Lonchura striata: one gene and its partner. The protein of the gene in region 1 purifies or fractionates together with the protein of each later gene. This does not show direct contact. Links are inferred from orthologs where the notes say so. Each region holds a gene or a part of one and is shown on either strand. Other genes may lie near its edges.

Region 1 (7,483 bases):
CATTTGGGTTTTCTTTTCCCCAGAATTTCACTTTATCCCCCAGAATTTTGGTTTTTCCCCGGATTTTGGGGCAGAATTTGGGTTTTTCCCAGATTTTGGGCTGTTTTGGGGCAGAATTTGGATTTTTCCTGGATTTTGGGGTTTTTTGGGGCAGAATTTGGGTTTTCCCGGATTTTGGGGTTTTCTGGGGCAGAATTTGGGTTTTTCCCGGATTTTGGGGTGTTTTGGGGCAGAATTTGGCTTTTCCCCGGATTTCGGGTTTTTTTTGGGGCAGAATTTGGATTTTTCCCGGGTTTTGGGGCAGAATTTGGGTTTTTCCCGTATTTTGGGGTTTTCTGGGGCAGAATTTGGGTTTTTCCCAGATTTTGGGGCAGAATTTGGGTTTTTCCCGGATTTTGGGGTTTTTGGGGGCAGAATTTGGGTTTTTCCTGGATTTTGAGGCAGAATTTGGGTTTTTCCCGGGTTTTGGGGCAGAATTTGGGTTTTTCCCGGATTTTGGGGGTTTTTGGGGCAGAATTTGGGTTTTTCCCGGATTTTGGGGGTTTTTGGGGCAGAATTTGGGTTTTTTCTGGGTTTTGGGGCAGAATTTGGGTTTTTCCCGGATTTTGGGGTTTTTTGGGGGCAGAATTTGGGTTTTCCCCGGATTTCGGGTTTTTTTTGGGGCAGAATTTGGATTTTTCCCGGATTTTGGGGCAGAATTTGGGTTTTTCCTGGATTTCAGGTTTTTTTTGGGGCAGAATTTGGGTTTTTCCCGGATTTTGGGTGTTTTTTGGGGCAGAATTTGGGTTTTTCCCAGATTTTGGGGCAGAATTCGGGTTTTTCCCGGGTTTTGGGGCAGAATTTGGGTTCTTCCCGGATTTTGGGGGTGTTTTGGGGCAGAATTTGGATTTTTCCCGGATTTTGGGGTTTTTGGGGGCAGAATTTGGGTTTTTCCTGGATTTTGGGGGTTTTTGGGCTGGATTGGGGATTTTTCCCCCCAGAATTTCAGGATTTTTCCCGGATTTTGGGACTGGATGTTTATTTTTCCCAGATTTTGGGGTTTTTTTTGGGGCAGAATTTGGGTTTTTCCCGGATTTCGGGGTTTTTTTGGGGCAGAATTTGGGTTTTTCCCAGATTTTGGGGCAGAATTTGGGTTTTTCCCGGATTTTGGGGGTGTTTTGGGGCAGAATTTGGGTTTTTCCCGGGTTTTGGGGCAGAATTTGGATTTTTCCTGGATTTTGGGTGTTTTTTAGGGCAGAATTTGGGTTTTTCCCAGATTTTGGGGCAGAATTTGGGTTTTTCCCGGGTTTTGGGGCAGAATTTGGGTTCTTCCCGGATTTTGGGGTTTTTTTGGGGCAGAATTTGGGTTTTTCCCGGATTTTGGGGTTTTTTGGGGCAGAATTTGGGTTTTTCCCGGATTTTGGGGGTTTTTGGGGAATATTTACTTCCTCCCGAGGCGGCCGCAGGCTCATCCCGTTAGCCAGGGTGGCTACAAAATTCTGGGGAAAGAGGAACGAGAGACGTCACCGGGCACCCCAAAACCGGCCGGGCACCCCAAAATTGGGGTGGGCACCCCAAAATCGGCGTGGGGGGAGCCTAAAAATGGGGTGAATGACCCCAAAAATGGGTTGGGGGTCCCTAAAAAAGGGGTGGGAGGTCCCTAAATTGGGGTTGGAGAGCCTAAAATGGGGCTGGGGGACCCTAAAATGGGGTGGGGGGTCACAAGCCCAATTTTTGGGGGTCACGATCCCATTTTTGGGGGGCAGAGGGGATATAGGGGCTCAAGACCCCAAATTTTGGTGGTTTAGGGGGGTCAGGACCAAAATTTGGGGCGACTTTGAGGAAGGGGAGGACTGAAACCCCAAATTTTGGGGGTCAGAGGAGATTTGGGGGGGTTACAACCCAGATTTTGGGGGTCCCTGGAAACCTGGGGGGGTCCCAGACCCAAAATTTTGGGGTCCCTGGGAATTTTGGGGTCCCAGACCCAAAATTTTGGGGTCCCTGGGAATTTGCTCCTGTGTCCCCCCCCAGTCACGACAAAACACCCCCAACCTCATTAAACCCCCTCAAGTTAATTAAGCCCCCCAAAACCTCATTAAAATCCCCCAAACGTCACTAAAAACCCCAAAATCTCACTCAAAACCTCATTAAAATCCCCCAAAATTTCATAAAAACCCCAAAAATTTCATAAAAACCCCCAAATCCTCAGTAAAAACCCCAAAACCTTACTAAAAACCCCAAATCCTCACTAAAACCCCAAAATCTCATTAAAACCCCCAAAATCTCACTAAAACCCCCCAGAATTTCATTAAAAAAAACAAAATCTCACTAAAACCCCCAAAATCTCACTAAAATCCCCCAGAATTTCATAAAAAAACTCAAAATCTCACTAAAATCCCCGAAATCTCACTGAAACCCCCAAAATCTCACTAAAACCCCCAAAATTTCATAAAAACCCAAAATCTTACTAAAACCCCCAGAATCTCACTAAAACCCCCAAAATCTATCTAAAACCCCCAAAATCTCACTAATATCCCCAAAATCTCACTAAAACCCCCAAATTCTCACTAAAATCCCCCAGAATTTCATTTAAAACCCCGAGATTTCATTTAAACCCCCAAAATTTCATTAAAATCCTCCAAAATTCCATAAAAAACCCCAGGCCTCACTGAAATCCCTCAGAGCCCCTCAGAGACTCACAAATCCCCTCAAAACCCCTCAGAGCCCCAAAAATCCCCTCAGAGCCCCAAAAATCCCCTCAGAACCTCAAAAATCCCCTCAGAGCCCCTCAGAGCTCCCCCCATCCCCTCAGAGCAATTCAAACCCCCCCCAATCCCCTCAGAGCCCCTCAGAGCCGCCCCAATCCCCTCAGAGCCGCCCCCCGCCATCGCCGAGCCCCCCCAGCGCCCTCCCCGCCCGCCCGGGCCCGCTCTGCCCTCAGGCCCGGCGTTTCCCGCGCCGCCGCCGCCGCTCTCACCTCCATGGTGCAATTGGCCGCCTCCGCCATCTTGTGAGCGCCAGCGGCGGCCCTCAGCGCCGCGGCCTTTTATAGCGGGGGCGGGGCCGCCGCCGGCCCCCTCGCGCGCCTCCCCATTGGCCGCCGCTTCCCGCTCGCCGCGTGATGATTGGGCGGCGCCCACGCCCATCAGGCTTAGCCCACGCCCCGCAGCGCTGATTGGGCGGGGGGGTTGTCAGTCATGGGTGAAAGCGAGGCCACGCCCGCGGGTCGGCGCGGCGGGGCGGTTCTGCGCGCTGATTGGGCGGGGGAGGTGTCAATCAGCAAGCCACGCCTCCCGCGCAGCGCCGCCTAGCGGCCGCAGCGATCAATGCAAATTCCTCCTGAAAACACCAAAAAATCCCAAAAACCCAAAAAAATCCCCAAAAAACTCCAAAAAACCCCCCCCAAAATTATTAAAAAACCCATAAAACCTCAAAAAACCGATAGAGAACCACACGGAATCACTAGAAACTCGCTCTTTATTAAACTTCCCATACAAAAAGCCGGGGCTGGGGGGGTGAGTGGGCCCCGAAAATCCCAAATTTTGGGGTTTTGGGGCGGATTTGGGGGATTTTGGGGTCACCAGTCGGGCTCCCCGAAGCGCCGGAGCAGCTCCTGCTGCGCCTCCAGGTCCTTCTGCACCTTGCGGCGCATGTAGAAAATGGGGCAGTCCCGGCTGCGGGGATTTTGGGGGGATTTTAGGGGATTTTGGGGTTTTGGGGGGATTTTGGGGGGATTTTAGGGGATTTTGGGAGTTTTTTGGGGATTTTGGGGGTTTTTGGGGATTTTGGGGGGTTTCAGGATTGGGGGGATTCGGGGGATATTGTGACATTTGGGGATTTGGGAGCATTTGGGGATTTTGGGAGATTCAGGGGATATTGGGCGGATTTGGAGGATTTTGGGGGATTTGGGGATTTTTGGGGTTTTTTGGATATTTCAGGATTGGGGGAGTTTGGGGGATTTTGGGGGGTTTTGAGACATTTGGGGATTTGAGGGGATTTGGGGACATTTGGGGACACTTGGGGATTTGGGGAGATTTGGGGAGATTTGGGGATTTTGGGGGATTGGGCGGTTTTGGGACATTTGGGGATTTTGGGGATTTTTGGGACATTTGGGGATTTTGGGGATTTTTGGGACATTTGGGGATTTTGGGGTTTTTTGGGACATTTGGGAATTTTGGGGTTTTTTGGGACATTTCAGGACTGGGGGACATTTTGGTACCTTTGGGGATTTGGGTTTTTTGGGGGGAGTTTGGGGGATTTTGGGGGATTTGGGGATTTGGGGACATTTGGGGTTTTTGAGGGGATTTGGGGGATTTTGGGGGATTTGGGGACATTTGGGTTTTTTTGGGGGATTTGGGGGATTTTGGGGGGATTTGGGGACATTTGGGTTTTTTGGGGGGATTTGGGGGGATTTGGGGACTTTGGGACATTTCAGGACTGGGCGGGTTTGGGGGATTTTAGGAGGATTTGGGGATTTTGGGACATTTGGGGGTGACTGAGGGGACCTGAGTGAGGTGACACAGGTGACACAGGTGAGACACACAGAGGGTTCAGGTGACACAGGTGACACAGGTGTGACACACAGAGGGTTCAGGTGACACAGGTGACACACAGGTGTGACACAGGGATGGTGACACAGGTGACAGGTGTGACACACAGGTGACACAGGTGTGGCATGGGGATAATGACAGGTGACACACAGGTGTGACACAGGTGACACAGACAGGGCTCAGGTGACACAGGTGACACAGGTGACACACAGGTGACACAGGAGGTGACACACAGGTGACAGGAGGTGACACACAGGTGACACACAGGTGACACAGGTGACACAGGTGACCCAGGTGAGGTGACACAGGTGGTGACACAGGTGACAGGTGTGACACACAGGTGACACACAGGTGACACACAGGTGCCACACAGGTGACACAGGAGGTGACCCAGGTGGCACAGGTGTGACACAGGTGACACAGGTGACACACAGGTGACAGGTGTGACACACAGGTGCCCCAGGTGCCCCTCAGGTGTGCCCAGGTGTACCTGGAGCAGAGCACGTCCTGCAGCAGGGAGCCCTGGCACCGCTGGCACTGGCTCCAGAGCCGGGCGAAGCTGCGCTCCAGCTGCCACACCTGGCTCACCTGAGCAACACCCCAAAATATCCCCAAAATATCCAAAATATCCCCAAAACATCCCAAAATATTCCAAACACATCCAGCTGCCACACCTGGCTCACCTGAGCAACATCCCATAATAACCCCCAAAATATCCCAAAATATCCCCAAAATATCCCAAACACATCCAGCTGCCACACCTGGCTCACCTGAGAAACATCCCAAAATATCCAAAATATCCAAAATATCCCAAAATATCCCAAAATATCCAAAATATCCCAAAATATCCCAAAATATCCAAAATATCCAAAATATCCCCAAAATATCCTCAAAACATCCCAAAATATCCCCAAAATATCCAAAATCCCTCCAGCTGCCACACCTGGCTCACCTGAGAAACATCCCATAATAACCCCAAAATATCCCAAAATATCCCCAAAATATCCCCAAAACCCCTCCAGCTGCCACACCTGGCTCACCTGAGAAACATCCCATAATAACCCCAAAATATCCCCAACCCATCCACCCAAAATTTGGGTCCCCCAAAACCAAAACCCCAAATTCGGGAGCCCAAAATCCCAAATTCAAAACCGCAAAACCCCCAAAATCTCAAATTTAAAACCCCAAAACCCCCCAAACCCCAAATTCGGGACCAAAACCACAAAATCCCAACTTTAAACCCCCAAAATCCCAAATTTAAACCCCCAAAATCCCAAATTTAAACCCCCAAATCCCAAATTTAACCCCCAAAATCCCAATTTTAACCCCAAAATCCCAAATTTTAACCCCAAAATCCCAATTTTAACCCCAAAACCCCAAATTTAACCCCAAATTTCGGACCCAGCCCCCCCCACCTCTTTCTGGTAGAGCTCGGACTCCCTCTGGCGGCAGAAATCGCAAACTGCACCTGCGGATTTTGGGTCCATTTTGGGTGAATTTGGGGCTCCGGGACCCCAAATTTTTGGGCAGGATGGGTTAAATTATGGAGGTATTAATTAGTTATTAACGATTTAAATTATAATTTTTTGTTAATTTGGGGAAGGGACTTGACTTTGGGGATTTTGGGGCTCCAGCCCCCCCAGTTTTGGGGATGTTTGTGCTGAATTTTGGGAATTTTGGGGGTCCTGGACCCCCATTTTGGGGAAAAGGGATTAATTTCGGGGATGGGAAATTTCGGGTCGGGGTCGTTAATTAGGGTTGGGGTCGTTAATTAGGGGCGGGGTTGTTAATTAGGCTTGGTTAACTTGGCGAGGGGGCTTTAATTATGAGGATCCCCTTTTTTGAGGTGGAATTTCGGGGATTTTGGCCATTCTGGACCCGTTTATTTTGGTAAAACCAGGTTAATTCCAGCCGGAGGGGATTAATTAGAGTTAATTAGCGCAGGGCCCGTTAATTAGGGCAGGCATTCTGGTGATTAATTTGGGGAGGGGGCTTCAATTCCCAGAATCCCATTTTTCGAGGTCGAATTTTGGGGATTTTGGCCATTCTGGACCCGTTTTTTTTTGGTAAAACCAGGTTTATTCCAGCTGGAGGGGATTAATTAGAGTTAATTAGGGCAGGGCCCGTTAATTAGAGCAGGGCCCATTAATTAGGGCAGGCATTCTGGTAATTAATTTGAGGAGGGGGCTCCATTCCGAGTATCCCCTTTTTTCAGGTTCAGTTTTGGGGATTTTGACCGTTTCTGACCCGTTTTTTTTTGCAAAACCGGGTGAATTCCACCCCGAGGTGACTAATTAGGGGTTAATTAGTGCGGGGGCTAATTAACTGGTTAATGAGGGGGTCTCACCGTGGTGGGGCAGCAGGGCCCGGCAGCCGATGCAGCTGCTGCGCTTGGAGGTGAAGGCCGAGAGCGCCCCGGAGCGGGCGGTCAGGAGGGTCTTGCAGCGGGTGTGCTCCCCCTCTGCGGGGAAATTCGGGCTCAGGGACCCCCAAAATCCCCCAAAATCCCCCAAAATCCCCCCAAAAATCCCCCAAAATCCCCCCAAAAATCCCGGAGTCACAGGGAGCCCCAAAACCTCCCAAAATCCCCCCAAAAATCCATCCCAGAACACCCAAAATCCCCCCGGACCCGAGGGTCCTGCAGCGGGTGTGCTCCCCCTCTGCGGGGAAATTCGGGCTCAGGGACCCCCAAAATCCCCCAAAATCCCCCAAAATTCCCCCAAAACCCCCCCAAAAATCCCGGGGGCACAGAGAGCCCCAAAAACCCCCAAAATCCCCCCAAAAATCCATCCCAGGACACCCAAAATCCCCCCAGACCCGAGGGTCTTGCACTGCATGTGCTCCCCCTCTGCGGGGAAATTCGGGCTCAGGGACCCCCAAAATCCCCAAAAATCCCCCAAAATCCCCCCAAAACCCCCCCAAAAATCCCGGAGTCACAGGGAGCCCCAAAAACC
Region 2 (7,188 bases), on another chromosome or scaffold:
TGTGGTGTTTTTTTTCTCCATGGACGCAGCGAGGCGGAAAATAAAACTCCTCAGCAGCACCCCAGCAGCTTCCTGGGAGCTGGCGAACAAAACCCATCCTAAAAACGAGGAGTTTGGTCTGACGGGGGGGAAGGGGCAGCAAGGTGTCCCTGAGCTGCCTGCAGGGAGCAAAAGCTGCCCCATTCCAGGGTGTTTAACCCCAAAATGCTCACTGGGACAGTGGCTGCTCCATTCCAGGGTGTTTAACCCCAAAATGCTCACTGGGACAGTGGTTACACCATGGCAGCGTGTTTAACCCCAAAATGCTCAGTGGGAGAGTGGCTGCCCCATTTCAGGGTGTTTAACCCCAAAATACTCACTGGGACAGTGGTTACCCCATGGCAGCGTGTTTAACCCCAAAATACTCACTGGGACAGTGGTTACCCCATGGCAGCGTGTTTAACCCCAAAATGCTCAGTGGGAGAGTGGCTGCCCCATTCCAGGGTGTTTAACCCCAAAATGCTCAGTAGGACAGTGGCTGCCCCATTTCAGGGTGTTTAACCCCAAAATGCTCAGTGGGAGAGTGGCTGCCCCATTTCAGGGTGTTTAACCCCAAAATACTCACTGGGACAGTGGTTACCCCATGGCAGCGTGTGTAACCCAAAAATGCTCAGTGGGAGAGTGGCTGCCCCATTTCAGGGTGTTTAACCCCAAAATGCTCAGTAGGACAGTGGCTGCTCCATTCCAGGGTGTTTAACCCCAGAATGCTCAGTGGGATGGTGGTTACCCCATGGCAGCGTGTTTAACCCCAAAATGCTCAGTGGGACAGTGGCTGCTCCATTCCAGGGTGTTTAACCCCAAAATGCTCAGTGGGACAGTAGCTGCTCCATTCCAGTGTTTAACCCCAAAATGCTCAGTGGCAGAGCAGCTGCCCCAGGCCAGCGTGTTTAACCCCAAAATGCTCAGCAGGACACCCGTTAGTCGTCACAGAGGAGCCACACGTGGAGAAACCCAGCGGAATGACCCACGGGAAGAGCTCGAGGACAGAGAGAGATGGAGGTGAAGCGAAGCTGGTGCCTCTTACAAGGCCCAGAAGAGCCTTTGGGCCGGTTCCGGGGCCGCCGCCGGCCTCTTACAGGGCCCACCCGGGCGGGTGGGAGCCTCGGGCGCGGCAGCAGAGCCAAAATACCAATGTCAAAACATGTGGGAGAGACAGGGAGGGTGTGAGGCTGGTCTCTGCTCTTACAACAACACATCCCACCGGATTTACGAGGCGAATCAACACTAAACACGGAGCAATCCCTCCGGGATTTTTGGCCCTTTTAACCTTGCGTGCCGCAGGGGTCGGAGGGTAAGGCGGGGGTGGAGGCACCCGCTCGCTCGACGAGGTTAAAAGAGGGCGGAAACCACGGTGGGTTTTTGGATTTTTGGATAGTGAGAATTAAGTAAAAAAAAAAAAAAAAAATTATATATGATTTCTTAGGAGCTGAAGGTGCCGTTGGCTTCCTCACCGCTCGTTCAGAGACATCTTGGTGGTGCTCTTTAGCACGACCTTCGGTGCTGACTGTGCAGCCATCTTCAGAGAATCTGCAAAACAGGGCCCAGAAGGGAAAATTTAGACATTTATTACACATTTATACTGCAAAATACTAAACATCCCTTCCGTTCTGCCTCTTTGGGTGAAGGAAATCAAGATTAGGGCAGGTTATGTGCAATATATTCATTTTTCCCCACTGATTTTTAGCCCTCTGCCAGAATTTTTCTGTTCTGATTCTGGGATTTTGAATGCTTTTTGGTCTTCTCCCGGTTTTAATAAATCAGGGAGTTCCTTTATTTCTCCCTTACCAAAAATATATCATTTTACAGTGAATGCTTCAGCAATATTAGGAAAAATAACACAAAAATCCAGGAGCAAGATGGCAACCAAATGCCACCTCCAGAGCAAAGATGCAAAACAGAATCCAAGACATCAAATTAAAACAATTATTACGTATTTACATGATTAAACATTAAAAAACTTCTGCTCTCTGTGGAGAGAACTAAGAGTGAGGCTAGTTATAGGTATTGTATTTATGCATTTTTAATGTTTTCTAGCCCTCTACCAGGTTTAATAAAAAAGGGAGTTATTTTAATTTACCTTTAGTAAAAATTTATATTTTTACAGTGAATACCTTATCGTTTTTCTGAGTAATAACATACAAATCCAGGTGTAAATAGCACCCAAACGCCTTTTGCACACTGACACCTCCACATTTCCCGTGTTCTTAGCATGACCAAGGTGCAAACCCCAATTTTAAGGGCACAGGGAATAAAAATCCAAGACGATGCTACAAAAGCATCGTACCCTTTAAAAACATGGAGGTTCCAATTCCCTCAGGGTAGGGATTTAAATCCCCCCCCAGTGCTGGATGCTACAGAAACACGCTGGGCTCCAACCCCCGAGCTCTGCAGATCGATTTATTAATTTATTTTATAATTAGCAGCAAATCGAATGAGTGGATGACGGCCGGGATGCGTTTATTCTATAGTACCCTGAAAAAAACGTTTTATTGAGAGGATTTACAACCAGAAACTGAGACAACAGAAAGCCTCATTGCTGCTTGAAACTAATTATAATAATTTTGTTTTAATATACAGCAGCTTCTTCAATTTGAAGTGGTTCTTAAAGCATTTTTCTTCCTGAGGATTAAAAAAAAATAAAAACAAACCGCTCCGCCTCCCGCAGGCCCGGCTCCGGAGGAAAAGCCCCGACCGTGAGGGGCTCTCCGGGCTATGAGGGGGCCCTGAGGGGACCCCCCGGCCCTCAGGAGCGGCCCCCGGCGCCCCGCCCCCGCGCAGCCGGGCCGGTCACTCACCGAAGCACACGGTCGCCAGGTCTCCGGTGGCTCGGCCAGCAGGCGGGCGGGCGGGCGGGCGGGTGAGTGAGTGCGGGGCCGGTGTGGGGCCGGCGCGGGCCGGGGCTGGCGCTGAGCTCCGCCCGCCGCCGCCGCTGCCGCTTCTCCCTCAGCCGCCCGCGACAAAATGGCGCCGGCGCCGCTCCCGCCCCCGCCGAAATGGCGGCCGCGCTCCCGGCCACGCCCACCGCCGCGCGAGCCCCCCCGGGCCGGGCGGTGATTGGTGGAGCGGCGGAGGGGGCGGGGAAAGGGGCGGGGCTGAGGGAGAGGCGGGAACGTTCTGGCGGGAGTAGGGGTGGAGTCCCCGTGACGTCATAGAGAGCGGTGTCGTCATGGTCACGTCATGGAAACGTCATGAAACCGTCATGGAACCGTCATGGAACCGTCATGGAACCGTGGGATGAGGGAGTCAGGGGGGTCAAGGAACCGTGGAGTCATGGAGCTGTGGAGTCACGGAGTCACGCGGTGCTGGGATCCCCACGTCCCACGGAATTGTGTCAGCTTTATCAGCTCCTCTGTCAGCTCCATGGAATCTTGGAATTATGGAATCACAAAATGCTCAGCTGTGGAATCATATAGGATCCAGGCGTTAGGGAGTTGCGGAGTTGGAAGGGGTCTGTAAGGACCGTGGAGTCCCCTGCCCATGACACTCCTGGTGTCCCACCATGTCCCTGGGAGCACTGCCCAGCTGCTCCTTGACCCCTGTCCCGTGCCCCTGTCCCGATGTCCATCCCACCCAGGCAGGGCCGATCCCAAGCCGGGATGGCGGGCAGATGATGGCGCTGGTGGCCCTGGTGGGGCCCTTGGCCACCGTCCCATCCCAGTGGGCTGGGAGATCCCAACCGGTTCCTCCAGCCCCGCGGGAGCAGTGCTGGCGCCTCCGGAGCCACCGGCAGCGAGTCCCGGCCTGTCACCCCCTTCCCAAATCCCGGGGCTCCCGTGTCCCACACCCTGACACCGGCCGGGATCCCCCGCCCTGGGGTCACCCTGCCCCGGGCGGTCGGGGCGGATCCCAGGGTGAATCCCAGGGTGGATCCCGGGTGGATCCCAGGGTGGATCCTGGGGTGGAGCCAGGGCTGTCTCCAGGCTTCTGGGGTGACCCAGGCTGGCTTTTCCCTGTGCGCCCAGAGTGGGATATTCCCAGGGGATGGGGCAGGAATCCCGAGCAGGAATGAAGGAAGGAGCTGACGCACACGGACACACCTCGGGCAGGGTTGTGCCTTTATTGTGCAGCTGGATCCCAGTGGGATCCCCTGGGAATGCTGAGGGGGTGAGCCGGAGGGTGGCGGGGGGGCTCTGGATTTTGGGAGCCCACGTCCTGCTGCGGCAGGAGGGGGGTCAGGCGTTCTCCCAGAAGAAGTTGTTGCAGGCCACGGTCAGAGCGGCCACCAGGACCACAAATTCCTGGAAATCCACCTCCCCGTCGCCGTTCTCATCCAGGTCCTGCATGATCTTCTCCACGGCCCCCGCGTCCTTCTGGGTCTGGGGGGGACACAGGGTGAGCCCTGGGGCTGGGCAGCCGCTGTTCCCCCGGGGAACGGGGAAAGGGAGACCCCCGCACCCCAAACTGGTCCCAGTTACCTCCAGGAAACATCCCAGCTCGCTCTGCAGCAGCTCCTTGAGCTCCTTCTTGCTCAGCTTGTACTTGTCCCCCTCCTTGCCCGAGTAGTGGTGGAACACATTGATCAGGGTCTCCATGGCCCCTTCCAGCTGCGATCCCATGGCTGTGGCTGCGGGACCCCCAGCACGTCACCCACCGGCCCCCCCGTCTCGGTGCCACCCCCACATGTCACCCACCCGCGGCCGCGGTCCCCCTGGGCAGGACTGGGGGGGTTCCCAGGGGCTGGGCGGGGAGGTTTGGGGGGGACGGGGACACCTGTGCTCACCTGAGCTCCCCGTGCTCCGAGTGCGCCCGCCCGGCCCGGCCGGGCCCGTTAAATAAGCTCCAAGCCCCCTCCCTCCGGGAGGATCCGATACCGGGGCTGGGCAGCCCGGCTGGCACCGCCGGCCAGCCCCGCGGGGCCGGGCGTGGGGGGCACAACCCCGGCCTGGCCCCGGGGACACGGCTGGGGAGACAGCCCCACTTCAGGGGGGCTCCCCGTGCCACCCCCGAGCGCCCCTCGCCGCCCCCGGGATGTGGAAAAACCGGGGATGTAGGGAGGGCCGGCACGGGCACGGGCACCGGCACGGGCACGGGCACCGGCACGGGCACCGGCACGGGCACCGGCATGGGCACGGGCACCGGCACGGGCACCGGCACCGGCACCGGCATGGGCACGGGCACGGGCACTGGCACCGGCACCGGCACCGGCACGGGCACCGGCACGGGCACCGGGGTCCCCCGCCGGGCTCAGTGCCCGGCGCCCCCGCCGGTGGCCGCGGTGGCCACGCCGTGACCCCGCGGGGGCACCGCCGGCATCCCCCGTCCGTCAGCGCCGCGGGGCCGGGGCCGCGGCCAGCCCCGCTCCCGGGGCCGATGAAGGGATCCGGTGTCCTCGGAGCGGCCGCGGGGCCGGCGGGGCCCGGGGGGAGCGGCGGGGGCTATCGGGTGACTCCGCGGGGGCCCCCCGCGCTCAAAGGACTCTTGTCCGGCTGAAAAGGCCCCACAATCCCGAGCCCGGCGTTGCTGCAGCAACGCCTCGGCCAGGAAACCGGACTCCGAGCCGGCCCGGGTGATGCTGATAATCCGCGGATCCCGTTACGGCCCCGGATCCGCGCGGGATGGAGCCCGCAGCCTGCCCGGCTCCGGCATCCCCGGGGAGATCAGCTCCCGAATTCCTCAGCCCCCGAATTCCTCAGCCCTCAAATTCCTGATCCCCCAAATTCCTGATCCCTCAAATGCTTCAGCCCCCAAATTCCTCAGCCCCCAAATGCTTCAGTCCCCAAATTCCTGATCCCCCGAATTCCTGATCCCCCAGATTCCTGATCACCCCAATTCCTCAACCCCAAGTGCTTCAGCCCCCAGATCCCTCAGCCTCCCTCAGGATTGGGACCCCCTCAAACAGGAGCTGCATTTTCAGCAGGGCCGGGTGGTGCCGGGCTCCTCATGCCGGGTTCCAGCCCTAATTTGGGGCTAATTACATCCTGTTGCCTCTGCTTCCACCTCCCTCACTTCCCGTCCCTGCGGCTGAGGATGGGCCCTGCCTGGGCACCCCAAAACTGCCTGGGCACCCTCCCCAGCGCCCAGGGAATGGGGAAACTGGGGGGTCCCCAAGCAGAGGAGGGGTCCCAGCTGGAATTGCGAGTTCCAGAGAGGAGCAGGGATCCCAAAGGGCGGCTCAGGAGCTGCCTCCCAGCAGGACCCGGCTCCATCCCTGGGGCTCCGGGAGGGGCCGGATCCCCAAATCCCGAGGCTGGGCATGGGGGCACTGGGAGGGGCCCGTGGCACTCACTCGCCGTGTCCCGGTCCCCGAGCGGCGGGCAGGATTCCGGGAACGCCCGGGAGAGTCACCGGGCCAGCAGCTGCTCGTGACAGGGACGGGCATTGCCCAAAAATAACCCCGACCCCGGTCCCTGCCAGGGGACAGAGGGGACAGGGCCAGGACTGCGGGCAGCGGCACGGCCGCAGTGTCCGAGGGACAGCGGGACCCCCAAACCCTTCGGGACAGCAGCCCCAGGGCGAACCCCAGCACTGGGGGGGTCCCGAGGGGTCCCGGGGGGTCCCGGACCCTGCGGCCGGGGCAGAGCGCGCCCAGCACGGCTGGCAGATTCCCAGGACGAGCTCTGGGAAGCGGGAGCAGTGAGGGACATGCCAGGAGCTTTACACACAGCTTGGAACAGGTTTCAGCCACTGCGACTCCCCTGCTCCACTTTGACCCAGCTAAACCAGTCGCTCCAGTTCCCGGTGCTGGGCTGGGCCCATCTTGTCTCCCCATCCCATCGCCGGGGCTCTGGAAGAGGCTTTGGAGAGGGAGGAGCTGCGGTGGCCGCGCTGGGGACCCCGCGGTGGCTCCGGGCTCCTGCCGCGGCCCCTGGGTCCCTGCAGCGAGCCCCGATGGGGCCAGCAGGGGCCACTGCCGGGCTGGGCACCGCGCTGGACACGGTCACCATCCCTGGTGGGGCCACACCGGCTGTGGAGAACCCCAGGACCAGGATGTGGAAGTGGACACTGAGCCCCTGCACATGGTCACCCTGTCACACGGGGTCCTGTGGTCCTATATGGCCCGAGTCCCGAATGATCCCATTCCTATTCCTGTATAGCCCAAGTCCCTGTACGATCCCATTCCTGTCCCTATATGGCCCAAGTCCTTATATGGTTCTGTCCCTGACCCTGTATGGCTCGAGTTCCTATATGATCCTGTCCTTATATGGCCCA

Evidence for each region. Proteins that work in one complex are often made in the same cells at the same time.
Region 2: the proteins of PRMT1 (region 1) and CHTOP purify together in Homo sapiens (affinity purification with western blotting; 7 studies listed by BioGRID and IntAct, with this or other methods). This does not show direct contact. The link is inferred for Lonchura striata from reciprocal best matches to the Homo sapiens genes PRMT1 and CHTOP.

The regions. Positions count from the first base shown.
Region 1 is NC_134640.1:2,740,183-2,747,665, forward strand, and holds the start of PRMT1 (protein arginine N-methyltransferase 1), read right to left. Parts: upstream 3,008-7,483; 5' UTR 2,987-3,007; coding exon 2,957-2,986; intron 1,479-2,956; coding exon 1,425-1,478; intron 1-1,424. Other genes in the region: DNA polymerase delta catalytic subunit, read right to left, coding at 3,557-3,653, 5,020-5,117, 5,945-5,997, 6,877-6,990. UniProt on the Homo sapiens protein: Arginine methyltransferase that methylates (mono and asymmetric dimethylation) the guanidino nitrogens of arginyl residues present in proteins such as ESR1, histone H2, H3 and H4, FMR1, ILF3, HNRNPA1, HNRNPD, NFATC2IP, SUPT5H, TAF15, EWS, HABP4, SERBP1, RBM15, FOXO1, CHTOP, MAP3K5/ASK1, MICU1 and NPRL2.
Region 2 is NC_134635.1:3,147,169-3,154,356, forward strand, and holds the start of CHTOP (chromatin target of PRMT1 protein), read right to left. Parts: upstream 3,013-7,188; 5' UTR 2,835-3,012; intron 1,567-2,834; 5' UTR 1,556-1,566; coding exon 1,491-1,555; intron 1-1,490. Other genes in the region: S100A1 (protein S100-A1), read right to left, coding at 4,212-4,355, 4,455-4,595. UniProt on the Homo sapiens protein: Plays an important role in the ligand-dependent activation of estrogen receptor target genes. May play a role in the silencing of fetal globin genes.